2 linked regions of the Canis lupus familiaris genome follow. The main gene of each other region encodes a partner of the protein of the gene in region 2 in a complex. Links are inferred from orthologs where the notes say so. Each region holds a gene or a part of one and is shown on either strand. Other genes may lie near its edges.

Evidence for each region. The genes of interacting proteins can lie anywhere in the genome.
Region 1: STRN3 (region 2) and PDCD10 share a complex: the UniProt entries of both Homo sapiens proteins name them as parts of the core of STRIPAK complex. The link is inferred for Canis lupus familiaris from reciprocal best matches to the Homo sapiens genes STRN3 and PDCD10.

Annotation. Positions count from the first base shown.
Region 1 is NC_049255.1:32,806,210-32,812,158, reverse strand, and holds the start of PDCD10 (programmed cell death protein 10), read left to right. Parts: upstream 1-2,340; 5' UTR 2,341-2,498; intron 2,499-5,949. Other genes in the region: SERPINI1 (neuroserpin), read right to left, coding at 1,886-1,964. UniProt on the Homo sapiens protein: Promotes cell proliferation. Modulates apoptotic pathways. Increases mitogen-activated protein kinase activity and STK26 activity. Important for cell migration, and for normal structure and assembly of the Golgi complex.
Region 2 is NC_049229.1:10,405,420-10,410,852, forward strand, and holds part of STRN3 (striatin-3), read right to left. Parts: intron 2,934-5,433; coding exon 2,804-2,933; intron 1,563-2,803; coding exon 1,421-1,562; intron 1-1,420. UniProt on the Homo sapiens protein: Calmodulin-binding scaffolding protein which is the center of the striatin-interacting phosphatase and kinase (STRIPAK) complexes.

The sequences.
Region 1 (5,949 bases), on a different chromosome or scaffold from region 2:
ATATTTCTCTGGTGTGTAAGAATGTGGCAGGGGGTGCTGGAGGGGAGGAGTAAATACACTGATAAGTCATTTAGGCTTATCAGTAAGTAGCACTCAGTAGGATAGAACTTTAACCTGTGAACAGAATTCCTTCTGGCCATTTCTTTTCAAAAAGGAATTTTGTGTGTGTCACAAAAATAAAATCCGAAAATCCTAAGTAAATGAGGAAAGCATGCAAACACGAAAATAAAAGGTAATTTCTCCATTGTATTGATCCTAGGTAGAAAAAAAAAAAAAAAAAAAAAACAAAAACCCCAGATTATTCGCCCAGACCCGGGAGTACACAACTGTCACAATGAAAGCATTTCAGAGCAAAATGTGCTGCAATATGCTACTATGATTAAAAGCCATGTAATCTGAAAGACCTCTGTAACAAAAGGAAAAATAGCTATTTACACACTTTTCTAAAAAAAAAAAACAAAAACAAAAAAAAAAAAAACAAAAAGGCTGCAGTTTTGTGATAGTTACACAAAGGGAGGTGTGACTTTCACCTATACCTAGTATTAAGACCGTATTTTCATCCACAGGTATTTGATAACATTCGAAGAAATTGCACATGGTTTAACACTAAGAATAAACTACTATTTTATGATACTATTACATGTGTTTTACGCCTAAACCCGTCACAACACATACTGGGGGTAATCATTTAGCACACACTCCCTAAACAGGAAAGATCCTCACACAGTTTTTTCCTGTACTTTAGTTTTTTTTTTTTTTCCCCCAAATGTACAATTACCAGCCCCAAAAGAGAGGATAAGGAGCGGCAATGAAGTACACCATATGTTCCCACTGTAGGCTGAGTCCTAGTCTTTGTTCCAACATCCTAGAGCCGCTGTTAGGAAAGCTAAGTATCCATCCATCAAAGCGGTTTTACGGTATTGCGGGCAAAGTTATACTTCTGATAGGTTTGGTCATCTCGATTATTCCTGCCTGCATTTGCTTCCTTAATACAAATCCCTTTCAATTTTGGGAACCTGCGGTAAACCGCCCTGGAAAACAGGTCGGTCGCAGGACAACCTGATAAAGCAACGCACAGGGTAAACACTGAAGAAGAAATGCAAAGTTATTTTCCTAGTGCAAGAGTTTTGAAGTAATTCCGTATCAATGACAAAATCTTTTTTTTTTTTCTTTTTGCCAGCTGCGCACCTACCCAGATATCATCCACCTCATCCTCAATTAGCAGGGTTTCGCTCAATCTTAACATCTCCCAGAACAGTTTTAATGCTATAACTCACACCAAAGACCACTAACCACGCCCTTTATACCCAGAATCAAGCCACCTTTTGCTTCCCCCCCCCCCCCTTACAAAGTCCAAAATGCACATCCGATTTCATCTAAGAGGGTTCGCACCGGGTCCCTACCCCGAGTCGGAGACCCTAGCTGCGCCCGGAGGATTCCCCTGGAAGTCGCTGTCTCCCGGGCGCCGCGGGCCGCGCGGAGGGGGCGCCCACGCTTACCTCCCACACACCTGCAACCCCTGGCGGGATGCTGGAGCCGATGCTCGCGGGACCGCGCTCCGCTCCGCCCGAGCTCCTGCTCTGGGCTCTCCCGGGAAACTAGAGTCCAGCCTGCGCCTCGGGCTGCTACAGGGACCCAAGCTCCGCCTCCCGCTCCTCCAGTTGGCGAATTCGGCGGCTGTCGCTCCTCCCCCTGCTGCTCCTGCGGCCGCCCCGGCTGGCGGCGGCGGGAAGCGGCTGCGCCCGAGCCTCCCCGCTCCCTGCGCTTCTGCAGCTGTTCGGCCGCTTCCCTTCCCCGGGCCCCCCCGCCCCGCGCCGGGCTCACACCTGCAGCTGCTTCCTGCCCTGCCCCGCCCCGGGCGCCTCCTCGAGAAGCCCAGGCTCACCCGATCCCTTCCCGACGCCGCCTGGCGTGCCCGGGGCTCGTCCGCGATCGGGGAAGCCGCTGCTCGGGCCTGGACGCATCCCCCCTCCCCTCCCTCCACCCCGGCGATTCCCCGCTCGGTGCAGCGTCCGCGGCTCAGCCGCCCCACGTTACCCTCCTCAGGACCTCCCCCCCGCACCCCCTTCCTTCCTGGGCCCTGCCAGCCCGCCCCCACAATGGGTGAGCCGCCCGCAGGGCCGACCCAGCACCCTGATTGGTGCAGGTGAGGGCTGACCCCGCCCTTCCTCCTCCTCTCCGACACCCTCTCTCCGCGTCTCACCTCCTCCCGCAAAGGCAGGGAACTCTCCTGCTATTGGCTAGAGCTGTCCCCACCCATCGCCTTGGGCTCCACCGCACGGCCTGCCGGGAGTCGTAGTCCGGCCCGTGTCGGAATGGCCGCCGACGGCGGCTGGCGGGACTACAAGTCCCGAAAGGCCCCTGCGCGACTCCGGCCGGGCAGGATTCCGGACAACGCCTGGTTCCTCTCGGGTCCTTCCGGCGTCGCCGGAGTGAATTGATCCGGGAGTTGAAGAGGGCTCCGAAGGTGGGAAGTGAAGTCAGTGCCTCAGTTGCCGGTAAGGTGTGGCCGCCCCGTCCCGGGGTGCGGAGCCCCGAGCGGCGCGGAAGAGGGCGGGGGTCGCGCGGGGGTCGCGCGGGGGCCGTCGGCTGGGCTGTGGCGGGCGGCGCGGACGCGGCGGGGAGCGGGGCCCTCTGGGCGTCAGCGAGGGTCCCCGGCGCGAGCGGCGGAAAGCGGGTTCGTAGACGCCGCCTGCCCGGTTCGGGCCCGGACGCCTCCAGGAAGTCTCCTCCAGGTGGGGGCGGGAGGGGGAGGCGAGCGTGGCCTCGGGTGCCCCGGGAGGAGGGAGCGGGCGGATGTGCCTGGGGTGGGGTCCTCCGAAGGTGTGGCCTGGGGCGCGGAGAGGTGGCTGCTGCTGCTGCCCTGCGCTTGCAGGTCGGCTGGGGGAGGAGGGGCGGGGAGGGGCGCTGGGGAGTGGCTCTCGGGGTGACCCCGGCTGTGCCCTCTGGGGAGGAAGAGTGCGCCGTCGGCTGACGGGGCTCTGCGGGTTCAGGTCCAGTTCCCTGACGTGGCCCCTCTCCGGAGGCAGGTCTTGCCTCTGACCCCCGGGGGGGGCAGTTCCCAAGGTACCTTTACACCCCTTGTGCTTTCAGAGACTCTGTTCTCAGGCGCCGACCAGAAGCCGAGGGGACAGGCGACATGCCCAAGGTCACACACCTGGGGACAGGTCTGAGTCCAAGCCGCTCATAATCCAGTTTCTTTCTTTTTTCTTTTCTTTTTTTTTTTTTAAGATTTTTATTTATTTACGCATGAGAGAGACACACAGAGAAAGAGAGAGGCAGAGACACAGGCAGAGGGAGAAGCAGGCTCCACGCAGGGAGCCCGACGTGGGACTCGAACCCGGGTCTCCAGGTTCCCACCCCGGGCTCAAGGCCGCGCCAAACCGCTGAGCCACCCGGGCTGCCCTATATAATCCAGTTTCTGACTCAGAGGTGCCCACTCACCAGAAAGAGCAGGGAGGTTGGGTGTTTTTTTGTTTTGTTTTGTTTTGTTTTTTTGAAGTGAGTAGGGGGAGATTGCAGAGTAACGCATTTTATGGTTTTCTTAGGAGCCCTTTGTGAGATGAAGAGTTTGTGTGTGTGTGTGTGTGTGTTTTCTGAGTTGGAGAAATTCCTCCATGAAGGAAGGACACACACTTTTTTTTTTTTTTTTTTTTTTTGAAAAAGAAGACTGAGTTGCAGCTGACTTACGGATGTATTAAGCGATGGACTACATTTCAAACGGTAGAGAATGACCTAGGAGAATGTCAAAATACATCCCATCCTCATATTTAAGAGATACACCGCTTTCCCTCCCTACCTTAGGGCTGACTGTTGCTACTCTCACTTGAGTAGAGCCGGCAGCGGTAGTGTGGGAATTCTTTCACAAGACTTATTTTTTATTATTTTTTTTACGTTGTGTTCAAGTCACAAAGCATCAGGAGAGGTGACTGTGCTCCTTTACTAGAAAAGAGGGTACGTTGCATTTCTTGGAAGTAGCATCACATTTTTTGTTGTTGTTGTTGACTCCTGTTTCCTTGTCCCCCTCATTTTCTGGACTCCAGTGTGTTGGTGAGTTTTTCTTAGCTTAGTCCATGACTTTTAATTCATCCTATTTAAAGAATGGGAAAAATTGGACATTTACATTTTATTTTTAAACATTTTTTTTAAGATTTTATTTATTTATTCATGAGAGACACAGAGGAGAGAGAGGGGCAGAGACACAGGCAGAGGGAGAAGCAGGCTCCATGCAGGCAGTCGGACGTGGGACTCGATCCCTGGTCCCCAGCATCGCGCCCTGAGCTGAAGGCAGGCGCTAAACCGCTGAGCCACCTGGGCTGCCTCACATTTATATTTTCTATTGAGCAGAGAGCAGTATGCTTGTAACACAGTTTTCTCCTTTATAATTGTTAGTGTGACCATTCATAGCTTATGAATATTATCTTTCATAGAATCTTAGGTGTGTGTTTTTTGACATGAGGATTTCCTTTGTGTTGTTTACATACAGTAATTCAGTATCTACTGATAGCTAGTAGTTAATCGTGGTTTAGTGTCATGTAAGTTGACCACTGAAATATGCTGCTTTTTGAATGTACTCTGCAAACGTAGGTTCTACAGTGTATGACTTTTGAATGCAAAAACACTTTCTAGGATCGTAATATTGCATATTGCTCCCCTTTGACTGAAGTTAAGATGGTCTGGAAATTAGTATGACCTTAAAAGTAGAATATGATCCTATAGAAAGAAGTAGGAAGAATAAGAGTAATGTAGCACCATGAGTAATGCAGTACACAAGGAAGGAAGACCAACTAACCAAATGAACCAGTGGGGATAACTGGTTCCATGCTATGTTATAGACGGAAATGGTAGTTTACATGGACTTCAAACTGAACATGAGTGAGTGATGGTAAAGCAAAAATGTTAACATGTTTTCTAGACAGCACAGGAGGTGTTTCCTTTTTGTTGAGGGAAGTGTGAAATGAGTTCTCTAACTTTTGGCATGCAGCTATGAGGTTGTGGAATGAGCTTTTGAACTACAGGAAAATTTGGAAATAAGTAAAATTAATTTATTTTTTTAAAGAAGATTTTATTTATTTATTCATGAGAGACACAGAGAGAGAGAGAGAGGCAGAGACACAAGCAGAGGGAGAAGCAGGCTCCATGCAGGGAGCCCGACTTGGGACTCGATCCGGGGTCTCCAGGATCACACCCTAAGCCATAGGCAGGTGTTAAACCGCTGAGCCATCCAGGGATCCTCCAGTAAAATTAATTTAATGCTAGTTTTTTTGTTCTGGGTTCAGTTCTATCATTACTCTTCATCTCTGAGGTCCATCCTAGTTTGGATAATTCATCTATATTTAATGATGGAGTAAGGTTTTTATTGTATTTATCATCTTTCAGTCACAGGCTGGTACCCTGTGGTCACTTTAGATCTCAGCACATTGAAGAATTTAGGGTTCCCAGAGTTATGTGTATAATTGTATTTTTATAGTAGTTTGTAGTTCACCAGTATCCACATTTGTTCTCAGTTTTGGTTTTGCAGGAGCCTTGTGTCAGCTTTTGGATCTCTTACAGGCCTTAGGATGTTTCCCATGTGCATCTGTCTTTAAGGGTAGAAGTTCATGAGAACAGGACTCTGTATTACTGCATTCCCAGTAGCTAAAATAATTGAGTACCTGTTTACAGTGTATGTAGTTCAGATTGGTTAAACGTAAGGTCATGTAACTAGTGACTGGTGGGATTAAGGCATAATCCAGGTCTTGTGACTGTAGATCTTACTGTTATAGAATGAAGACCCAGTTCCTAAAATTACTTATTTCACACGAGAAAAGGACTTAAAATGACTTAAATATTCAAATTCTCTTACCTTCTTACTTTTTAATGCTCGCAGTTTATCCTTTGCCTCCTTTTCAGCTTTCCATCCTATCCCCAGCCTTTCTTATTTACTGCACCTTTCAGTTACTATATAGC
Region 2 (5,433 bases):
CTCTTTACATAGTGGCATTATAGATTATTTTTAATTTCTTCTTCACAGGTATATGTGGGTTCTAAACCTCCTAAAATGCATGAGTTATGAAATAATTATATATTTATATAATTTAAATGTACTTATGTAATTATAAAATAACCTGAAAAAAGACAGTACTTTAGAAACTACTGGGGAAAAAAATTAGATATTTCCAACATTGAATGAGTTGCATAAAGAAGCTTAAAGAAAACTTTGATATTTTTATTAAAGTGTCTCCTGAGCAAGGCTAATTCTTAAGAAAAGTAAACTAGAATATAGCCATTTTCAAATAGTAAGTACAAAAAGGTATATTCCAAGTCTAGAAAGCAATTCTGAAGCTTTTTCCTATTTTCCATGAATGTGCCTCTTCTCTTTCCACTTAGAAGAGATTAAGTAAAAGTCTGAAACAATGCTTAAGAATTATAATCAATAAGAAAGCTGGTAACAAAATTCAGATTTTTAAGTACTTGAATTGTTATCAGGATAATAAATAATTTTATCACCTATTAGGTTTTGTTTCTCTTTCTATTAGCAAATTCAGTTTCAATACACGAATGAGGCATTTTTAAATAACATATGATCCTCATCACCAAAGTAGTTTTTAAGAAGCTAATGATAATTCCTTTTGTGAGTAACTAAGCAACTTTGGTGTTTCTTTGAAAGATGCATTAAGGTACAATTTATTAACCTTCTCCAATAAAGCTCTGTAATATAGTGTGAGTTCTACCTGCCAGATAACGTGCTGGTATTAAAAGCTAACTGAACAACAGAGTGGACCTCAGCTACTATCATAATATAATTATTATACTTTTATTTTTTAAATGGTTTTTAACACTGTATAAATACAACTGTTTTATTTTAGTTATGGGTGGATTATTATTAGCATTATGCGTCATTTCTAAAGGCTAGGCCCTGACATATACATCCTAAATATTATATGAATAAAGCTTAATACCCTCACTAAACATTGTTCAATGTAAAGCTCTAATTTAGGATTAGGAGCTCTATTACTTTCTAGCAATAAGTCAGGCAACATCATACGGGCATAATGGAAGAGTTAAATCTTTAAACCTAGATTTATTATCAAATTAAATGATGGGAATGTTTAAAACTACACACTTTTTTTAAATGTAAGAAGAAAGAAATTGGATTTCTTTCAACTTTAAATCAAAATAAATTTCAGAAGTCAAAATCCACCAAAAGACATACATCAAACAATAGTTTTGTCACAAATCTAAATAAATTGTTGCAAAATACCCTGAAATTATTAACACCACTTCCCCTTGCTCTTGTTTAACTGCCACCACACATTCAAATACTCACATTCCACATATAATACTTAATAGCAATGCATTTTTAAAAGCTATTCTCCCACCCCCACATTTCTTTATCACCTTACCCCATTCTGTGCCATCTCCTGAACTCCGTGCTTCTCCAGCTCCTTCACCATCCTCAGCAGTCACTAAAAAATCAAATTCTTTCAGTGCTTCCTCAGTATCAGGATCATCTGTTAGGTCAGCAGCTAAACCTTCATTACCTATCTGTAAATGGAACATAAGCCAAGAATTACTTTTATCCTAGATTTTAAAGGGATCCTTTATATGTTTTCAGACAATTATCTTTATATTTGCACTCCCATTTTTACATTACTTACATATACAAAATTTTAGATTTTTCTACTTATTTCACCAATCCCAAATTACACTCTATATAAATGGTTCTTAACAGTGTCATGTGAAGATTACTGTAAGATGTGATGCAAGTAATGTGGTAGTAAAAAATGGTTAAGATACTATACTAATAAAAAATTAAGTTCTTTAATTATCATAGATTCACAATTACCCCTATTTATAGGCCTTTTCACTCACATTCTGGTACATTGTGTTAAACTGACTTCACTCACTGAGAACTGCATATGCAGTTAATAATTCACAAGGATATGGCATAGCTAATAAGGATTTTAACTGATCTTAAGTTAGTAGCTGTGATAATAACAGTGCTTTGCCTCCCAGGGGGAAAAAAAAAAAAGAGAGAGAGATGGATCAAAATCTCCATTCACCCATGCTACACACATGAAATGTGACAGAACACTGAAAACTGTTTTATAGCCTAGAAACTTTTCTTGACGAACAAGAACATTATTATAACATCCCAAGGAACAAAAACTTAACCTATGCACTCTTTTTAAAATACTTAAAATACTACACACTTTTTAAAATACTTGAAATACTATACACTACCATGATAATTCATAAATGGATCATCTAATCTGTGTATACTTTTATAACTAACCTACATCACTGATAAAATAGATAATCCAGTTTCTTAGGTTATGAACAGAAGTACATTTTTATTAATCCTTACCAAGAATGTGGACACATACATTTACAATCCACAGTTTACTCCCTCACCCAGAGTGGGAGTATCCCCATTGCAGCTTCACTTTATTACCTGTTTACTGAACATGAAGAGACAGACTTCAGCAGTAATTCTTAATTGTAGCAGGAGTGGAGAAGGGGTTCTGTTTTTTTTGTTTTTTTTTTTAAGTTTCAAATCACCAGACTAGTTCTATAAAAACCCCTTTTTGCTCTTTAGTGAATGATACAGCAAATAATAATTTCTACTATATGTGGATAATAATAACTGATAATACATAAAACTTTCAAGTGAGATGATAAAAAATAATCACTCTCAATGTAACTTAAGATATCTTGAAAATTTCTATTCCAAATACATGTGTATATTTGTTTTAGCTAATAAAAATTAAAACTTGAGTTCCTACTTTGTGTTTATTCAACCGATGTTTATCTTTTCCTTCTGGGATGCCTTCAATCATGTCATTTTCCTCTTCTTCATCACTGTCATCAGCATTTTCTAAAAAATTGAATGTCTCCAGAACATCACCAGAGGGCCTGTCAAAAGGGAAAAAGATGAATCCAAATATTCTAATAGTTAATTCTAACATTTCTTTCCGGTTCATATTTTAAAACAATACTTGAAAGTAGTATAGAGATTCCAATGACAATCTATTTATAATGCATTACCTAAGTATTTTATCCAAGAAAAGAATATTATGAAGAATATTTATGTTTTCTGAATAAAGTAAAAGTGATTGTTCCATTAAGTTTCTCCAATATTACTGACCAAAATACTTCGAGTAATTACTGTGTCAAAATCTTATAACAGACATTCAAATATGGTATTACATCTCAAAATGAAGCTATCATAAGCAAGAAACAAAAGCTTAGCATTTCTTATAGTTCTACAATCTCTTACAGCTTGGCCCAAATGTCTGAAGACTAAAATCTGCCCAGATTTAAAGTGGTGGGGTAAATCAGATATAAATATTCCAATAAACTTCACAGATTTTCTCACAGGATTCTTAATATACTAAAAAAATACTTCCAAGTCTCTCAAAACCATTCATTTAATAGGTAATAAAGTTATCTATTTTTATCTACCTATGAAGTCACTTTTTAAACTATAATCTACGTTCCCACTATATACAAATAAGAGGTTTTGAAATAGCTGTTTAAATGTCTAGTGACAAAAGAGAACAGGGGATCCTTGGGTAGCTCAGCAGTTTAGCGCCTGCCTTCGGCCCAGGGCATGATCCTGGAGTCCCGGGATCTAGTCCCACATTGGGCTCCCTGCATGGAGCCTGCTTCTCCCTCTGCCTGTGTCTCTGCCTCTCTCTCTCTCTCTGTGTCTCTCATGAATAAAAAAATAAAATCTTAAAAAACAAGAGAACAGTGGCAATTTCAGCCCAACACAGACTCTCACAATAAGTCTCTCTGCTCTTCCATTAACTAGATGATGGAATTTGGCCAAGTCACTTAGACCTTTTATCCTCAATTTCTTTACCTATAAACTGTTTGGGTTGAACTAGATCTTTTGGTACCAAAAAGAATAACAATCTAAAATTTGGAGCTTTCTCACCTCCCTGATTGTTTCTAAGGACACAATACAATTCAAATTCAGACTTTTTTTTTTTTTAAGCGAGGGGAGGGAGGGGCAGAGGGAGAGGGAAAGAGAGAATCTTAAGCAGGCTCCATGTCCAGTGAGGAACCCACCCCAATACAAGACTCAATTTCAGGACCCTGAGATCATGACCTGAGCAGAAATCAACAGAATACGTAGGCTCCTGGGTGGCTCATTTCACCCAGAGTCAGTGTCTGACTCTGGTATCAGCTTGGGTCATGATCTCAGGGTGGTGAGATCGAGCCCTGAGTCAGACTCCACATTAGTGTGGAATCTGTTTGGGATTCTCCCGTTCCCCCCCCCCCTCCCCCCGTGCATACGTGCTCTTGCTTTCTCTCTCAAATAAAATAAAATCTTACTAAAAAAAACAAACAAAAAAAGTCAGATGCTTAACTAAGCCACCCAGGCACCCCAATTCAGACTATTTTTTAACATAGCATAGGATTTTAATAGGTCTACTATACTCTGCCTAATCCAGCTCATTGTTTAAGGACCTGCATCAAAATGGAATGTACAAAGAGATGATTTTCCCAAATACAAATTACCACAACAACACAATGCACATTTTCCAGCTCAACATTTATAATATGTAATAACATCTGGGGATTAAAAGACTGGGCAGCCCGGATGGCTCAGCAGTTTAACGCCTGCCTTCAGCCCAGGGCATGATCCTGGAGTCCTGGGATCGAGTTCTACGTCAGGCTCCCTGCATGGAGCCTGCTTCTCCCTCTGCCTCTGTCTCTGCCCGCCCCCCCTCTCTGAGTCTCTCATGAATGAATGAATGAATAAATAGACAAAGATAATTGACAAAATTGGTACACTAATGACAGAAAAATAGAAAATAGTACATATAAGACATGATAATTCTGTTCTGAACTTCCACAAATAAAGTAGTGCTGTCCCTTGGCTAGAAATGTCTCTCTCTAAAGTGAAACTCATGTTTTAGGTTTTAAAATTTGTATTTAATCACAGCAATACACATGGATGGCTTTAAAAAACAAATAGAATACAATCCCTAAAAGACAATGATTCAGACATCCCAAAATTAAAGACTTTGTTCTTTGAAAGACACTGTTAACAGAATTTAAAGAAAAGCCTATGAATTGGGAGAGAATATTTGCAAGTCACATATTTGATGAAGATAACCTGTATTCAGAACATATAAAGAACACTTAAAGGGCTAACAATTAACAAAAAAATAAAAAATGGCAACATTATTCATACACTGTATCAAAAGATATGTGGATGGTATAAACTGATGCTCAACATCATTAGTCTTTAAAAAAATGAAAATTAAAGCCACCATGGATTATTAAAGGTCTGAGACTTTACCCTTTTTTCATGCTAACAGGCTGTTTCTTTTGAGATGCTTCTTTTTAGCACTCATGATGATGGCCTTTGTATGGATTTTTAAAAATAATTTTATAATGA